Linked DNA regions of Oryctolagus cuniculus. The protein of the gene in region 2 purifies or fractionates together with the protein of the main gene of each other region. This does not show direct contact. Links are inferred from orthologs where the notes say so. Each region holds a gene or a part of one and is shown on either strand. Other genes may lie near its edges.

Evidence for each region.
Region 1: the proteins of CLTB (region 2) and CLTCL1 purify together in Homo sapiens (affinity purification with mass spectrometry; 3 studies listed by BioGRID and IntAct, with this or other methods). This does not show direct contact. The link is inferred for Oryctolagus cuniculus from reciprocal best matches to the Homo sapiens genes CLTB and CLTCL1.

The regions. Positions count from the first base shown.
Region 1 is NC_091452.1:27,069,446-27,078,746, forward strand, and holds the start of CLTCL1 (clathrin heavy chain 2), read right to left. Parts: upstream 4,403-9,301; 5' UTR 4,294-4,402; coding exon 4,252-4,293; intron 1-4,251. UniProt on the Homo sapiens protein: Clathrin is the major protein of the polyhedral coat of coated pits and vesicles. Two different adapter protein complexes link the clathrin lattice either to the plasma membrane or to the trans-Golgi network.
Region 2 is NC_091437.1:62,400,503-62,409,011, forward strand, and holds part of CLTB (clathrin light chain B), read right to left. Parts: intron 3,614-8,509; coding exon 3,496-3,613; intron 3,300-3,495; coding exon 3,188-3,299; intron 1,510-3,187; coding exon 1,456-1,509; intron 1-1,455. UniProt on the Homo sapiens protein: Clathrin is the major protein of the polyhedral coat of coated pits and vesicles.

The DNA.
Region 1 (9,301 bases), on a different chromosome or scaffold from region 2:
CGGGTGTGTAAAAAGGTAAGAGAAACCCCAGCAAACTGCAGCACCATGAAGGCGGCTGGGGAAGTGCTTACAAGGTAAATAAAAGGGAGAAGGAGCCTCAGCAGAGACAGGATATGGCCTCCAACCCTAACATACAAGCTATCTGGCCCTTATAGATGACCTGTGACCCTGTGACCCTGGCAAGAACAGTGAGTCAGGCCAAAACCAGGCAGCAGGCTATTGAGAAACAGCAAGGAGTGGCTGGATAGAGAAGGCAATTCCTTCACTCTGTCTCTGAGGGAAGAGATTCGAGGGGAGGACGAAGGGACAGAAAGAAGTGTGTTCAGGGCTGGCGTTGTGGCACAGTGGGTAAAGCCTCCATCTGTGGTGCCAGCATCCCATATGGTCACTGGGTTGAGTCCTGGCCGCTCCTCTTCCAGTCCAGCTCTCTGCTGTGGCCCGGGAGTGCAGTGGAGGATGGCCCAAGTGCTTGGGTCCTGCACCAGCATGGGAGACCAGGAGGAAGCACCCGGCTCCTGGCTTCAGATTGGTGCAGCGTCGGCCATAGTGGCCATTAGTGGGGTGAACCAACGGAAGAAAGACCTTTCTCTCTGCTCTGTCTATAACTCTCTCTCTGTCTCTCTCTCTCTCACTGTCTAACTCTGCCTGGCAAAAACAAACAAACAAAAAACAACAAGGGAAAGAGAAGATGGTACTGAGCAAGGCCCTTCCTGGAGGAGAGAAAGCGCAGCATCCAGAACACAGATGAGGGTTAAGGACACCACTTCTGAGGGACGGGAAGGCAGGAAGAGATGTCTGTAAGTTTGAAGCCTTGGAGGGGATGAACATTCCCCAGTCATGTCCCTGTGATGTCACTGCCAAGTCACTGGCTGGCAGCAAGATGGGTGTGGCAGGATCAGAGATCCAAAAACAAGCCTAAGTTTTGAAATGTCTGCCATGAAGGCAGAGTGTGCTGATGGCACAGAGCAGCCGCCAAGTACCCGGGTAATCCGGAGACCACAGACCACAGAGTTTCATTTATATTGTCTGCATGCCACAAGTACTTTACAGATAAGAGAACACAGCCTAGGGCCAGCGCTGTGGCATAGTAGGTTAGGCCTCCACCGGAGGGTGCCAGCATCCTATATGGGCTCTGGTTGAAGTCCCAGCTGCTCCACTTCCGATCCAGGTCCCTGCTGAAGCTGTAGAAGATGGTCCAAGTGCTTGGTCCCTGCACCCACGTGGGAGACCCGGAAGAAACTCCTGGCTCCTGGCTTTGATTGCCACAGCTGCAGCCTTCGTGGCCATCTGGGAAGTGAGCCAGCAGAAGGAAGACCTCTCTCTCTGTCTGCAACTCTGCCTCTCAAATAAATAAAATCTTAAAAAAAAAAAAAAAGGAGAGACAGAACACAGCCCTTCAAGACACCGTGGACAGACATTTAAAACAGCTGATTGCTTTCTTGTCTTTAAAGAAAACAGCACATTTGATCGGCAGGTTAAGTTCAGGCTATGGAAGCAGAGACTTGGGTGGGATCTGAGCTGTCACTGACTCTGAAATCACCTGAGTCAACTATGGTAAAAACGAGATTATCATCAGTTCCTAGGAAGATTCAGTGAAAAGAGATCTCTAATATATCCAGTCCAAAAGAAAGGGCTCAAGTCAGACACTGAGCCTGGGGGTTAAGAAGGCCCCATTCTTGGGGCTGGGCCTGGGGCTTGGCAGGTAAAGCCGTTGCCTGCAGTGATGGCATCCCAAGACCCAGCTGCTCCACTTCCAATTCAGCTCCCTGCTAAAGTCCTTGGGCCCCTGCACCTGTGTGGGAGACCTGAAAGAAGCTCCTGGCTCCTGAGTTTGGATAGGCACAGCTCCGGCCATTGTGGACAAACGGGGAGTGAACCAGCACATGGAAGACTTCTCTCTCTCTTTTTTTTTTTTTTGACAGGCAGAGTGGACAGTGAGAGAGAGAGAGACAGAGAGAAAGGTCTTCCTTTGCCGTTGGTTCACCCTCCAATGGCCGCCGCAGCCGGCGCGCTGCGGCCGGCGCACCGCGCTGATCCGATGGCAGGAGCCAGGAGCCAGGTGCTTCTCCTGGTCTCCTATGGGGTGCAGGGCCCAAGCACCTGGGCCATCCTCCACTGCACCCCCTGGCCACAGCAGAGAGCTGGCCTGGAAGAGGGGCAACCGGGACAGAATCCGGCGCCCCAACCGGGACTAGAACCCGGTGTGCCGGCGCCGCTAGGCGGAGGATTAGCCTAGTGAGCCGCGGCGCCGGCCGACTTCTCTCTCTTGGGGCTGGGTTTGGCATAGTAGGTAAGGTTGCTGGCTGAGACATCAGCATCCCATATGGACATCAAGCTCGAGTCCTGGCTGTTCCACTTCTGATCCAGCTCCACGCTAATGTGCTGGGAAAGCAGAGGATGGTCCAAGCCCTTGGGCCCCTGCACCCATGTGGGAGACCCAGGAGAAGCTCCTGGCTCCTGGCTCCAGGCTCCAGTCTGGCCCAGCCCCAGCAGACCACTGCCGCCACTGGAGGGGTAAACCAGCAGACGGAAAACCTCTCTTTCTCTGTAACTCTTTCAAATAAATAAATAAATACACACACACACACATTTTAAAAAGACAAATGGCCCAATAAATGGTAAGTATGAGGGGACTTCAAAAAGTTTGTGGAAAACAGAATAAAAAGGGAAGCTTATTTTGATAAAAAAAAAAATTTGAAACCCATGCAACAAAAAGTTCAGTAAAAATATATAGTACAAAAAAAAAACTGCATGGATTTCAAAGCCTTTTCTTGTGTCAAAATAAACTCACCTCTTTAAAAAAATTTTTTTTTTCTTTTTTAGGTTCTCGAAAGAGACAGAGAGAAAAAAACTCCCATCCACTGGTTCACTCCCCAAATGCCCACAATGGTCCAGGCTGCCTGGGGCCAAAGATGGAAACCAGGAACTCAATGCAAGACTCCCTCCTGGGTGGCAGGAGCTCCATTACTTGGGGCGTCACTGCTGCCCCCTGGGGATGCATTCCCGGGAGGCGGGAGGCGAGAGCCGGGAGCGGGGAGCCGGAGCCAAACCCACATCGTCTAGATCCGTGATGCGCGCTTCTCAGCTGCAGGGCTAAATGCCCGCCCCAAACTTCTTGTAATGCCACTGCCAATGAACTCTCCGAAGTACCCTCGTTTTATCAACAGGTACTCTGCTACCTCGCCTGACTGGCGCTGCCCCAGCTTAGGGAGAGAGATGGAGGTTCAAGGCTTCCACCCCCACCCTGTGCGACCTCAACCGGCTGACTCCCCAACTGATCTGGGCAGGATCATCCGGGCATCCCTTCCAAGGCACAGACAGAGGGGGCCGGACCGGTCCCCCTGAAACTCCCAAGTACCACCTCTCCATCAACCCCATTCCTGGCAGCTGCCACAGCTGTGTAGCCAAGAAGCCCGAAGTCTGAAGTCTGAATCCCGCTCTCGGTTTGCTGAATGAACATTGGTGCCCCCGGCGCTTCCTCATCCAGTACCCTAGGGGACTGTGATGATTTCAAAGGAAGCACTTAGCACGTAGCCCTCAGCTAGGGCCTCGGCAGCCTCAACCCCTCCCCCTGTAAGCGGACACCTTTTCACAGGTGCGCCCACCTTCCTGAACCACCCCCCTTCCAGCACGAATCTGCTGGGCAGAGCAAATGGGGACCTCACGGCAGAGCAAAACCTCGCGGGTGTTACAGCACCGGTGTGTTAGCAGGTGCCATACTCGAGGGTCCTAACGAAAGCACCTGTACTTGGATACCAGGGATGCTAACTGACAGGCAATAACAAACGCCGATCCTACGCATCCGAGACGGATTTGACTGTCTTGCCCCACCAGCCACCAGGGGGGACCGGGACAGATCCACAGACGGAAACTCAGCGGTGAGGGTCGCAAGACACAGAGAAGAGAATGGAAGCTGGACTCGGAGTTTCCAAGGCGTGCGGTGCGGTGCCCACCCCCGAGCTCTCCCAGCGCTCCGGACGCCGGGCGCCCCCCGCCGAGCCGCCGAGCGACAGCGCCCCGAAAGCGTCCGCACGCGCGGCTCCCGAGCCGGACCCCGACCCAGGTGTCCGCCCGCGGCTTGCGGCGGGGGGCCAGCGGCACCGCAGGGCGAGGGGCGCGGGGCCGTGAGACCAGAGGCCTGCCCCCCGGGCGGTCAGCCGGCCGGCCGGCCGGGGGGCGCGGCTGACAGGACCCAGCGCGCGACCCACCCCCCGGAGCCCGCCCGGCCGCGGCGTCGGGGCCCGACCTCACCTGGAAGTGCTCCTGGAAGCGGATGGGGAGGATCTGCGCCATGGTGGGCGCCGGGCCGAGGCGGTGGCGGCTCCCCTCGCGCGGACAGACCGGCGGCGGCGGCGGTGGCGGCGGCGGCGGCGCAGGCGCACTGTCCCGGGTCGCCGGCACCGCGCCCCCCGAGCGCGCGCCCTATGCGGATCCCTCCGCGCGCGCCCTATGAGGATCCCTCCGCCCGTCCGGAGGGTCCGCGAAAAGTAGTCCGGGGCGCCGCTGCTCTGGCCGGCGCCGCCCGCACCCTCCTCCTCGTCCCGGGCCTGGAGAGCGTTGGCGCTGTGGCCGGCTGGGTGCCCGGGGCAGTTGCGCGCCAAGGTGGCCTTGGCTTCGAGGGAGTGCGCGGGAAAGTGGACTGGGACCCCCTGGGCCGGCCCCTCCAGAGCAGGTGTGCGTGCGTGGGAGAGTGAACTCGGTTCCGAGAGTGTCCGGGGGCCGTGCAAGGTGAATTGAGTCCGGGGTCCGACCCGGACAAGTGCACATAGGCAAGCGAGGATGTGTCCTCGGCGGTGCCATGGGCAGGTGTGTGCTGGCCGGGCGCCGGGATCCCCTTCCCCAGAGCCTGGTTGTTCCGTGCGCCAGCCAGGGCCGTTTGTTGTTGTTGACAGAAGCGTACAGGGGAACCTTGAGAGTGTCTCAGAGCCTCAGATTTCAGATTGTCATGCAACACCATCAGCATGGGACATCCGCCCCTAGTCCTCTCCTTCCGGTTTTCAAGGCTGAGGACACTGAAGTGGACAGCCACTGGGATGTGCTCCACACTCAGCCAGGCGCTGCCTCTGGGATGGGGCTGCTGGGCCCAGACGGGGCACCCCCTGTGTGCACTGGGCTGGGCAGCACCTGTCCCCGTCACCCTCACCGGCTGCGGGCCACGTGGGGATCTCTCAGCCTGCAGCCCGTAGGTGCTCTGCAGTGTCATAACGGAGAGGGAGCAGGGAAAAGTCTGAGTGTGCCCCCTGGGGCGTGACCCCTGGTGGCTTTAATCAGCTTGTGACATCGGTGGCCCATGACTTCCGCCCAAGCCCATTCCAGCACAAGCATTGCTTGTGGACCACTGATAAGCCCGAGAGGGGACAGAACGGACAGCCTAGCAGCCCCCCGCCCCCCACCACCACCATGGTCGAGGCGTCCTCTGGCTGCTGCTGCTATTGTTAATCCCTCAGTGAGCACCCAGGGGCTGTGGAGGGCAGGGGCCAGGGGAAGCCGGGGCCGTGCTGGACAGAAGCTGCAGGAATGCCCCTTCCGCTAACAAAGCAGCCAGGTCACCGGCTGTCCCCTAAGTGCCCGGCTCTCGGGAGCTCCTGCTAACTACGGACGGAGCAGGGTGGCTCCACTTGGAAGTCGGCGGGCCTCTGGGGAGAATGCTTTGGAGCTGTGACAGTCACATCAGCAGTCCCAGCTAGGTGGCCAGGGCGGGGGAGAGCCCAGCCCGTGGGGGCCAGGTAGGATACCAGGACAATGGGGGTCGTTTTCAGCCAGGGGTCTTAATTTCGCCATTTTCCCCATTCTTGATGGCCTTGTGAGGCCCACTGTTCACCTGTTACACAGTAGGCGCTCTCACCCGAGGTCTCCTGGCTTACAAGGAGCAGGGGCGGGGTCGAGGCCTCAGCCCGCTCTGGAACCAGTGGAAGAGCCACAGCCATGGCTCAGATGCTTCGAGTCCCACGTGGTGGGCTTACCTAGGCTCATGGACTGACTTTGTTTTAAAAGCAATGAAGCGCCGGTGCCGCGGCTCACTAGGCTAATCCTCCGCCTTGCGGCGCCGGCACACCAGGTTCTAGTCCCGGTCGGGGCGCCGGATTCTGTCCCGGTTGCCCCTCTTCCAGGCCAGCTCTCTGCTGTGGCCCGAAGTGCAGTGGAGGATGGCCCAAGTGCTTGGGCCCTGCACCCCATGGGAGACCAGGAGAAGCACCTGGCTCCTGGCTTCGGATCAGCGCGATGCGCCGGCCGCAGCGGCCATTGGAGGGTGAACCAACGGCAAAGGAAGACCTTTCTCTCTGTCTCTCTCTCTCACTGTCCACTCTGCCTGTCAAAAAATTAGAAAAAAAAAAAAAGCAATGAAGGGGGCCCAGCACCAAGGCACAGTGGATTAAGCTGCCCTTTGGCACCCAGAGAGACACAGGACAGGGAGGGGCCGTTGCCAGCCCAGAAGTGGGGGTGGGAGGGGGCTGGCACAAGAGGACCTCACTTGGAGGCAACCTTTGCTCCGAACCCCTGAGGCTGCCAGGGAGCGTCTCTAAATTCACTCTTCGGAAATATATGTCCAAGGCCCTCAGTATGGGCCCCTTTAGGCCCCCAAACGTCACAGCTGCAAGAATCCCGAGCCTTTAGAGGACCCAGGGTTTTAGGCACGCCTTGGCTGGCCAGCCCCTAGGGTCCACGCGCAGACCCGGGGCCTGGCAGCGCTGCAGGAAGTCCTTGCTCTGCTGCTCATCAGCTGGTTGTTTTGGGCAGGTCGCTGGGCGTCTCTGGGCCTGTGTCTCTGCCTTGGAGGTGCTGAAAGAAGTGGAGGAGTTGTTCCACAGAAGACGCTGGGGGGACAACCCAGCCAATCCCAGGGCACAGGGTGTGAGCGCAGGGGAGGCCTGGCTTCAGAACACGCACGATTCAAACACAGGCTGGGGTGGGGCGGGGCGAGGCGGGGGGGGGGGGGTGCGGCATGGCAGGCCTCAGCGAGAGGATTCCAGGGAGGGGCAAGGACCCCAGCACGTAATACGCAGAGAATCCATGGGCCTCTACCAACCATCCGCTCTACTAAGCGACACTGTCCCTTTTTCTTTCTCCTTTTTAACTAATTAATTAATTTTATTTATTTGAAAGGCAGAGGGAGGGGAATACAGAGAGAAAGGTCTTCTATCTGCTGGTTCACTCCCCAGCCAGGACTGGGCTGATCCGAAGCCAGGAGCTTCTTCCAGGTCTCCCATGCAGGTGCAGGAGCCCAAGTACTTGGGCCATCTTCTACTGCTTTCCCAGGCCATAGCAGAGAGCTGGATCGGAAGCAGAGCAGCCAGGACTTGAACCAGTGCCCATATGGGATGCCGGCATCGCATGTGGTGGCTTTGCCTGCTATGCCACAGTGCCGCTCCTCTCCATTTTAGAAGAAACACAACACCGAAGCTGTGTGGGAAGGGTCTCACTGGAGGTGCTGCTGCTGCCAGGGGCTTGCCCAGCCTCAGCCTGGGTCTGGGGCTCCTCCTCTGTCCGCTATCTCTCAAGATGGCCAGTGCCTTGGCCTTTCTCTGCTGATGGGCAGGCTCAGGTGGCCACCCTGGCTTTGAGCTCCAGGGAATGGAGGAGGCCCTCAGTGTAGGCTCCTTGTGTGGTCCACTCTCCCCCCACTCCACCCCGATGCCCGGCAGCTGGTGCCTTAGAGAGCCAGGCCCATCTCAGCGCCAGCTTCACCCTAGACCCTGGCACACCTGCAGCAGGTCCCAGGGTGCTTTGCGAGGCTCAGGCATGCTGGGGGGGGGTGCACATAGCAGAGACCAGGATCCCATCCTCGGCGCCAAGCCCCAGGGGGGACTCAGGACTGCAGGGCTTGGGGACAAGCACCCTCTCGCTGAGCGGGGGTCTTCCCTCCCCACCTTGTCACTAACACACTGCACCCAGGGCAGCCCCTGCACCACCCACACCTGCCGCTGCTTCCCCAGGCCCTGTGACTGATGGCAGTGCGCCCCATCCCTGCTCTGCACTGGCCTGGAAATCAGCGACAGGTGCGTGTGAGTCGGCCCCTGGGGAACTCCCACCACCACCCCACCCCCCGCCAACCTCCTGTGGAAAAGCAGGAGGAGAATGTGTTTCTTTCCAAGGCCAAGGCCATGGCCATGGCCAGGGTGGGCACCCAGGCACCCTGTCCCTCCCAGACCCCCCACTCCCCACCCCACGGATGCAGCCTGGTGCAATGCTCTATCACAGAGAGAGGAGGCCAGCTGTGTCCTGGGATGCTTCCACTTGTCCTCGCGTGGCAGCGTGGGCTGCCCCACGTCTGGACGGCAGGAAGCACTCAGTGGAGGGGAGGCACTGGCTCTGCCCCCGATGTTTCGCATTGAGGAAGTGCCACGTCTAGTCGCTCCGCACAGCTTGCAGAGAATTGAGATGTCGTGTGAAGGATGACTCCTGTTCTGCAGGGATTTGCAGTACATCTCTGGGCTCTGTCACATTCTGGGCCTGAGGCTTCCTGTGCAGGCCTGGTGTGGGACAGGGTAGACCTGGATGGGGCGGAGGAGGCGCTGGAGCTTCTATGCCAGCCATCTTCACTGCTGGGATCTGGCGTGGTGCTGCGGGAAAGAGGCGCCCGGGGCACATGGCCTGCCCGAGAGCAGCCTGCTGCCCCTCAATTTCTCTGTCCACAGCACTGAGCACCAAGGGAAGTGGGTCCCAAGAGGCCTGAATTGGGTCTGGGCAGCCCATCAGAGCTGGCCCCGAGCACAGAAGGCCAAGGACCAAGTCCAAGGCACAGTCTGGGGCGAGCTGGAGGTCAAGGCCAGAGCTCTGAAGCTCCGCGTCAAGTGCAAAGTTGAGGACGAGGCCACAGCAGGAGCCTGGGGAGTGGCCTTGCCATCACTGGCCAGCAGTTGCAGGCCAAGTGTGTAGGTGGATCTGGCTCAGAGGCCATGGGCCATCAGGTGCACATGCAGGCCACATGGAGCCCTGGGAACCTCAGGCTGCAGGGACCGTGAGGAGCGAGGCCTGTGAGTGGCAGGTCCTGTCTGTGCTCCCGGCTCTGGAGGCTGGGTTGTAGCAGTTGTAGGGGGCAGTGTGGGGAGACCACAGGGGTGGGGCAGAGGGCTTTCTTTAAAGCAGCCGAGGGAGAACGAAGCCAGGCTGCTGGCAGGGTCTCTGCACCCACCCCCAGAGGTGACCTATGGGATCAGCACTACCTGGGCACCCTTGGCTGTTAGCCCTGGGAGGGGCTGGCTGGAAGAGGTGGGCAGCCTGGGGCTCAAAGCAGACACCATCAGAGGGACAGAGCAAGCCGGAAGTCCTGGGTGGCCCAGTGGGATGGGCAGAGAAAGGT
Region 2 (8,509 bases):
CCTCCTTCCGCCAGCCTGGGCAGCCTGGGCGGTGTGCCGCTGGAGTCTCTGCTCTCGGTAGGACTCAGGATAAAAACCAATAGCCTCTTCACCGGAAGTTGTGGTTAAGGGACAGTGAGGACACGGTTAAGTGGACAGAATCTAAACACAGGAGTCATTAAGAAAAAGAAAGGGGTCTCGGGTGGGGAAAGTTGGATCCGCATCTTGTTTGGCAGCTAGGGTTCCAGGAAAGCCCCTTTCTCCTGGGAGTTGCCCCAGGCATGGGAAGCAAAACCACAGGGCATGGCTGATGGCAGGATGCTCTCCAGGTGGTCCCGCGGGCTGTGCGGGAAGGGGCTGGCCCCAAACCAGACCAGGCCAGCCCCTAGCGTGTGAAATGCAGGTTCCCAGCCTTGCCCTGCACAGCTGGTTCCTGCCCTGAGAACCGCGCCAGGCAGCAGGTGTGTGCTATACAGAGGGCGCAGGGTGACTGCTGGTGGGGGAAGCTGCCCCAGGAGCCACCCCTACAGCATCAAGAGGCTTCCTTCTACCTCGGCGCCCCACGGTCCTGCCGTGTCACCCTCACCATGGAGCCTGCAAATGCAGAGCCCTGGGCCTCGCCTCAGTGCCCCCAATCAGAAGCTGCAGCTGCATCTGATCCTGCAGTCATCCAGGGGTGGTGGGAAGCAGGGGGGCGGGGAGCCCCGCTCCAGACTCCCCCGCTTGGATGCTCCCTGGGCTGCTAAGCAGGAGCACCCCTGTGCAGGTCCCCTGGCCCCTGCTGGAACCTCCCATGGCTCCCCACTGCCTTCAGGATCAATCCCGGCTCAGCCTTGCACAGCGGGCACTTTGCAGCTAGCCGCCTCTCAGGCAGCCCCACCCCGCACAGCGCTCCCCCACTGCGGGGCCAGGTGGCTCCCCTCTGCGCCCTCGCCCCGGCTGATTCTCCCACCCAGACGCTCTTCTCCTCCTTCCACCCTCCCCACCCAGCAACTTGGGCTCAGCTGCAGCTCCAGCCCTGTCCCCGCCCCGGCTGCCCCAGCAGTGCTCTGGGCCTCCTCCCACGCTCTCTTAGAACAGATCCAGACCAGCAGCAAGGGGAGGGGGACGGGCTGTGTGCTCCTTATTCCTGTTGGACCTGACACAGGCCTGGTAAGTGCCAGGCAGCTGGCACAGCGGGTAGAAGGAAGGCGCCTGCTGTGCTCTGTGCTCTGGGAGAGAAGCCTTAGCCAGGACAGCACCAGGGCCTGCCAAGGGTACCCCCGATAAAAACAACCCCCCCACCCCAGCACCCTTCAGCCCCACGGGGCCCCCTCCCCTGCCCTGCAAGGGCTCTGGAGGCAGGGTGGTGCCTGCGTCCGCTCTGCCCTGGGCTTGCCCCAGGGCCAGCCCCCGCTCATTTATACCCTACAAGCTGGGGCTCCAGAAACCGTGCCAGCCACCGGCCAGCAGCCAAGCAGCTGAGGAGGCACATACACGTAGCCGATGACGTCAGCATCCGGCTGCTGGTAGAATGCTTTGTCGGCGATCCTTCAGGGCGAGGTTAGGGGTTAGGTCAGGGAGAAGGGTGGCAAGACAGACAAGGTAGGCAGCCAGGCAGGCAGAGGGTTAAAGAGAAAGAGAGACAGCGTTAGTACCTCTGGCAGGAGAGGTGTCGGGAAGGCTCGGCCCCACCCGGCAGAGGGGCAATCTTCTGTCCTGGCCACGGTGCCGCTTCCAAAACTGGGCCCTGAACCTGTTACTTGTCCTGCCAGGCTCCCTGTGGGACCTGGTCAGCCAAGGCCCGCCCAACGTCCCAGGCGGCGCCTGGATCTAGAATGCCTTCCCATAACCCCTGCTTCCTTTTTCCCCAGAACTCCTAGTCATCCTCCAAAGCCCAAGGCCCCAGGCCCTGAGGTTCCGCACCCAGCGCTTCTCGCTTCCTTTGCTTCCATGGCCACCACACTGAGGGCCCTGCAAGGTCGGCAGTGCATGCCTCTCTCTCTCCTCTCAGCTTTCCGAGGACACACAGGGCCTCCTGTGTGTGCACCCAGCTCCATACCTGCCATGGGCAGTTTCTTGAACAGAGTGTGGCAGCTCCCCACGTGGTGTTGCCCTTCCTGAGAGAGCCTGCAGCTGGAGGGGCCCAGCCCGCGGGCATCTCGGGGTGTTGGCTGGTGCAGCCCTGCCGCTTCACCTGCGGGCATGCACCCCCTTCCTTAAGAATGGCACCTGTTGTCCTCGGCAGCCTCAGGCTGCCCCCACTTCAGTCCCTAAGGTTTGGGTGGCACAGACGCCCATACCTCAACCAAGGAATATGACCATCACCCCCGAGGGGGGCCCAGTGGAGCGCCCCTCGTCCTGGCAAGTCACTGGGCCTGCCGTGGGTCAGGGACAGGGGCAAGGACTTCGGCAGGAGCCATCTGAAGCCAGATGCAGCATTCAGGGGGCTTCCGAGAGCACAGCACAGAAGCCTGGAGCTGCTGGTGGCCATCTCTGCCCCCCCACCCCCGCCAGCAGCGTGTGCCCAAGACTGAAGCCCACACAGAGGGAGGCAGACTGAGGGCCAGAAACAGTGGGCGCCTATTGCATCTGAGCCCCTCGTGTCCCTGTGGCCCCTGTCGTGTCCCCACAGCCCCTCGTGTCCCCACAGCCCCTCATGTCCCCACAGCCCCTCGCGTCCCTGCAGCCCCTCGCGTCCCCACAGCCCCTCATGTTCCCACAGCCCCTCATGTCCCCACAGCCCCTCATGTCCCCACAGCCCCCTCGCGTCCCTGCAGCCCCTGTCGTGTCCCCACAGCCCCCTTGCGTCCCTGTGGCCCCCGTCATGTCCCCACAGCCCCCTCGTGTCCCTGCAGCCCCCGTCATGTCCCCATAGCCCCTCACGTCCCTGTGGCCCCCGTCATGTCCCCACAGCCCCTCGCGTCCCTGTGGCCCCTGTAATGTCCCCACAGCCCCTCACGTCCCTGTGGCCCCTGTCATGTCCCCACAGCCCCTCGTGTCCCTGCAGCCCCCGTCATGTCCCCACAGCCCCTCGTGTCCCTGTGGCCCCCGTCATGTCCCCACAGCCCCTTGTGTCCCTGTGGCCCCCGTCGTGTCCCCACAGCCCCCTCATGTCCCTGCAGCCCCCGTCATGTCCCCACAGCCCCTCGCGTCCCTGTGGCCCCAGTCATGTCCCCACAGCGCCCTTGCGTCCCTGGGCCCCTGTCATGTCCCCACAGGCTCTCACCGGTTGTTGATCTTGTTCTTCTCAACCTGTTCGCTTTGGCGCTGGTTCCACTCCTCCAGGTCCTTCTTGGCCTTCTCCCGCCACTCCTGTTCGGTCACCTTAGAGGCGGCATCTAGGACCCCACAGGAGAATGAGTGGCAGCTCTTCCGGTGGGATGCCAGGGCACAGCTGCCCCTCCCTGCAGCCCCAGGACCCCCGCCCTCCGCCAGCTCCCACACGGAGACACCACCGGGTCCTATACACCCTTTGCTTCCCTAGTCCGCCCATGCCGCATCCCAGCCCAGCCCCAGGCTCGGCCCGGTCCTCACCCAGCTCTTGCAGCCGTTTCTTCTGCTCCTCCCTCCATCTGCGGATGCTCTCGGGCTCCTGAGTCAGCCTGTCAGCCTGGGCGATGGCAGCGTAGCCGTCGGCAGGCCCATTAGCCTCCTAGGACACAGACACATGGCTGTGCAGGGACCTGCACACCTGCCCACTATCTCTGCTTGCCCTGCTGGGGAACCCGAGCATCAGAGTGCTTCTCACATCTGGACAGCCAGACAGCCTCAAACCCCTCGTACCCACCGTCCCCTGCCTTTGCACTTGCTGTTCCCTGCCGGCGCCACTCCTACTGCTGGGCGACCCTGGGTAAGCTACTCAACCTCTCTGTGCCTGACATTTGTGCCCAGTCGGCCACGTTCATTCACACCCCACAAGCAGGAGACTCAGGAAACCACGCGGCAGCCACCTTCTTCGACATGCAATGGGCTAAGCAATCGCCCCACCCAGAGAGTATGACACTGGTTAGAATGTCCGCGTGCCATTTGGGGGCGCCTGGGTGTCATGCCCAGCTCCACAGCTCCTGACTCTGGCTTCCGGCTAATGTGGTCCCTGGGAGGCAGTGGTGATGCCGCAAATCATGGCATTCCTACCACTCATGAGGGAGAGCTGGGTTGTGTTCTGGCTCCTACTTCAGCCCAGCCTGGTCCTGGCCATGGAGAGTGAAGCAGTGGATGGGAAATCTGTCTGTTTCTCTCTTTCACTCTGTCTTTCTTTAAAAAAAAAATATTTATTTAGGGGCCAGCGCTGTGGGGTAGCGGGTAAAGCTACCACCTGCAGTGCCGGCATCTCATATGGGCGCCGGTTCAAGACTCGGCTGCTCCACTTCTTTTTTTTTTTTTTTTTTAAAGATTTATTTATTTATTTGAAAGTCAGAGTTACACAGAGAGAGAAGGAGAGGCAGAGAGAGAGAGAGGGGTCTTCCATCTGCTGGTTCACTCCCCAGTTTGCCGCAACGGCCAGAAATTCACCAATCCGGAGCCAGGAGCTTCTTCCCAGTCTCCCACGTGGGTGCAGGGGCCCAAGTACCTGGGCCATCTTCTGCTGCTTTCCCAGGCCATAGCAGAGAGGTGCATTGGAAGAGGAGCAGCTGGGTCTTGAACCAGTGCCCATATGGAATGCTGGCGCTTCAGGCCAGGGTGTTAACCTGCTGTGCCACAGCGCCAGCCCCCAAGACTCAGCTGCTCCACTTCTGATCCAGCTCCCTGCTGTGGCCTGAGAGGGCAGTGGAGGATAGTCCACGTCCTTGGGCCTCTGCATCCACATGGGAGACCCAGAAGAAGCTCCTGGCTTCTGGCTTCGGATCGGCACAGCTCCAGCCATTGCAGTCAATTGGGGAGTGAAGCATCTCCCTCTCTCTCTCTGCCTCACCTCTCTCTGTAACTCTGACTTTCAAATAAATAAATCTTAAAAAAAAAAAAAAAAAAGGAAGTGGCAGAGAGGCTGGTGTTGTGGTACAACGGGTTAAAACCATTGCCTGCAGCACCGCATCCCATATGGGTGCCGGTTTGATCCCTGGCTGCTCCACTTCTGATCCTGTTCCCTGCTGATGGCACCTGGGAGAGAAGCAGAGGATGATCCAAGTGCTTGGGTCCCTGCACCCACGTGGCAGACTCAGAAGAAGCTTCTAGCTCCTGCCCAGTCCTGGCTGTTGTGGCCATTTGGGGAGTGAATCAGCCGATGGAAGACCTCTCTGTGTGTCTCTCCCTCTCTCTCTGTAACTCTGCCTTTCAAATAAATAAATAAATCTTTAAAAAATAAAATGGCAGAACCAGGGCCCGAGCCCAGGCCTCCAACTCCCAGCCTGGGGTCTGCCCATTTCTCCCCACTGCCTTCCAGAGAGGGGGACTCCAAGCTCAGCCCAGCAAGGATGGGGCGCCCCTCCACCCCCCGATCTGGCATTCCTTTCTGAAGCATGGAGCCCTGGGTCCTGCCACACCCACTGGGGCGCCAGACAATGGGCATTCCTGTCTGCATGCAGCCCACACACTGGCAGCCCGCAGTGCCCAGGGCCTGCTGGCACGATCAGTTTGTGCCCATCTCTCTGCCCTTCTCTGCCCGCTGAACTCACTCTGGGCTAGTTCCCAGCCCCCAGGCATGTGCCCGGCCCCCTCCTCTCCACACGCCCTGCCTTTCCTACCTTCTACTGGAGTTTTCCTGGCTGGATCAGGGGCTCTCAGGGGGCACTATTTGCACCCGAACCCTTGTCCTGTGCTTTCGTGGCACCCTGCCCCCAATCCTCCTCCTTCAGGCACTTAGCAAAACTGCCCTGGTTGCCCATGTTGTTGGTCGTCTTGTCTCTGCACATGGGACAAGGTCTGGCATGGCCTCTGTCTTCAGCACACTGAATCCGTGAGGACCCGCAGAGCCAGCTTGGTGCTGGCTCCCAGGAGGAAGTGTTTGCCCAAGGCGTGTGCCCAGGACGAAGGGGCACAGGGAACATTGGCCTCCGTCTCTGATGTCTGGGGATCGAGGGAAGGGCGAGCTCGGGCAGGGAGTCTCTGATTAGGCCCAGCCCAGGGGTGGGGCACCTGGGATACTACCTGACTCCCACACAAAGCAGAATGACCCCTCTCCCACAACTTCCAGTGAGTGGGCAATTGCCAGGGCCATAGGAGGAGAACGCAGGTGGGTGGCTGATTACTCCCTTACCCTCGCTAGAAACAGCCCCAGTCTGCTGAGCCCTGGCTCCTGGGGCCTCCCCCTGCCCCGGCCCTGCCCAGTCATGCATGAGTAACCTTCCCTCTGCAGACGTGCCCAGTGGCTGCGTGCGTGGCTTTGTCCCAATGCTCCCTTCAATCCCCTGCTCAGCCCTGTAGCTGTGTGGACTATCCATCCCGCTCCAAGAAAGCTACCCCCATGAGGTCACAAAAGTATGAAACAAAGGAAGCAATCAAATAGAGGCATCCACCTGACTTCCAGCCGATCGCTGGAAGCAAACAGGCTGAAGGGGCGCTCCCCATCCCCGCCCTGGCCCGAGTGCGAGTCTAACAGGCATCTCCGCCTTCATATGAGTTTCCATTCCCCAGACTCGCTCCTCTCCTCTTTCCCCCATCTTGGTAAAAGGCACTGTAATCCATTCCCTGCCTGAGGCCCAAGCCTCACGCTTGCCCTCCGAGATCTCCCCTTCCTTCCCAGCTCGCACCCCACCGATCAGCAATGGCTCAGATATGAGGCTGCCATGATAGAATCACTTCCTGTCTTCTGCCCCTGCTGCCTCCGCCCAGCAGCCACCCTGCAGACCCAGCCACTGTGCCTCCCTCTCCACACAACGCCACCGTGACCTGTTCAAAGCCCACACTAGATGATACCACAAGTTCAAGAGTGTCCACAGGCCTTTCCCTGCGGCCAGCGGGCAGCCCAAGGGCTACAGCCTCTCCAGCAGGCTGGTGCCGCAGCAAGCTCAGCATGTGCCCGCCCAGGGTCTCTGTCTGAACTTCCTGCCCACAGATTCCAGGACCTACATTTTGCAAGGGCTCCCCGTCTCTTCAGGCTTCAGCCCTGAGATTTTCTCTAAGCCCCCTGCTCCCAGGCCTGCTGACCTCCCCCCACCGCCCCGGCCCTGGCTGCAGCAGCCTCACCTCCCCGTAACCACTTGTCTAGCAATTGCCCTGCAGCCAGCCCAGGGTCTCCATGCATCTGCAGAGTCAGCCAACCACGGGTGGCGCCCTGTAGGTGGACCCACCAAGGGACTGCATCCATCCTGGATGCAGGCTTGTAGTTCTTGTCACTATTTCTTAAAAAAAAAAAAAAAAAAAAAAAAAAAAAAAAAAAAATACACAGTGTAGCGACTCTTTCTATAGCGTTTACACTGGATTAGGAGAGATGATTTAAAGTAGAGGAGAGGTGCGCCTAGGTTCCAGGCAAATCCAGTGCCATTTGACGTAGAGGACTTGGGCATCCTCTGATTTCATTATCTGCAGGTTTCTGGAACCCATGCCCCACAGATACCACAAGGATGACTGTGTTTTACTCCCTTAGCGCTCTGCGAAATGACTTGTCAGCTTATTGCCTGCCTTGCCCTGCCCCTAAGTAAGCAAGCTCCAGGGCAACAGCAGCCTGCAGGCTCCACACAGGCTCTGGACAGGGAGGGCCCGGGGCAGGATTCAGGAATGCTTCCTGAATGATGTCACAGATGGCAGGTTTGGGGACAAGGATGAACAGGACAGCCTATCTCCTGGGAGCGGGACAGGGGAGCGGGGTGGGGCAGGGGAGCTGGTGGCTCCAGAGACAGCGCGTGGGTTAGTGCCGCTGCTGCACACTAAGCCTATAGATGCTCCATGGCTAGGGCAGGGGCACTGAAGAAGGGGTCACTTCCCAGGGTGCCCTTCAGGGCTCACCGTCTCCATAAAGCCTGCCCTAAAATTATGACTCCAGAGAACTTGCACGCAAATGATTGGCTCTGATCTTTACAGCTCCACGTGGCCGGTTTTATTAGCCTCCTTTTACAGGTAGTGGAACCCTAAACTCCAAAGTGCTAAGGTCACCCAGCTGGGAAGTGGCAGAACCCAGATTTCAAACTCGGTGTGAACGTCCTTGTCCCAGAGGAAGTAGCTCAAGGGGGACCAGTCACATCTGCATCCCAGGATTAGTGGGGCTTCCTCTCTGTGCCCCTGATGAGTCTGCCTTCCCAGGGGTGGAGACTGTGTCTCCACACACAGGCTTCCCCTCCACTCACACGGTGGCTGGGTCAAGAGTTTTAAGAAGCTGGGTCTAAGATTTCTACAAAGCCCTGTTCTCAACAGCCCGGTGGGGGCAGCAGGCGGAGCCTCCAATCCCATTTCTCCAGATGAGAGACTTAAGGCTCAGGTGATTAAGTGACTGGTCCAAGATCGCCAGGCTGGGACAAAGCAGGAAAGGAAGCCCTGGTCTTCTGCTTCAATCTGTAGCCCGCAGCCCACAGCCTGGGCGGGGGTTTCTGTCTCCTGGAACAGCTGAGCTGCACATCCAGGGCACTGCTCGGCATCTTCCTCAGCCGGCCCCCTCTAGGCACAGGGTGCAGATTCT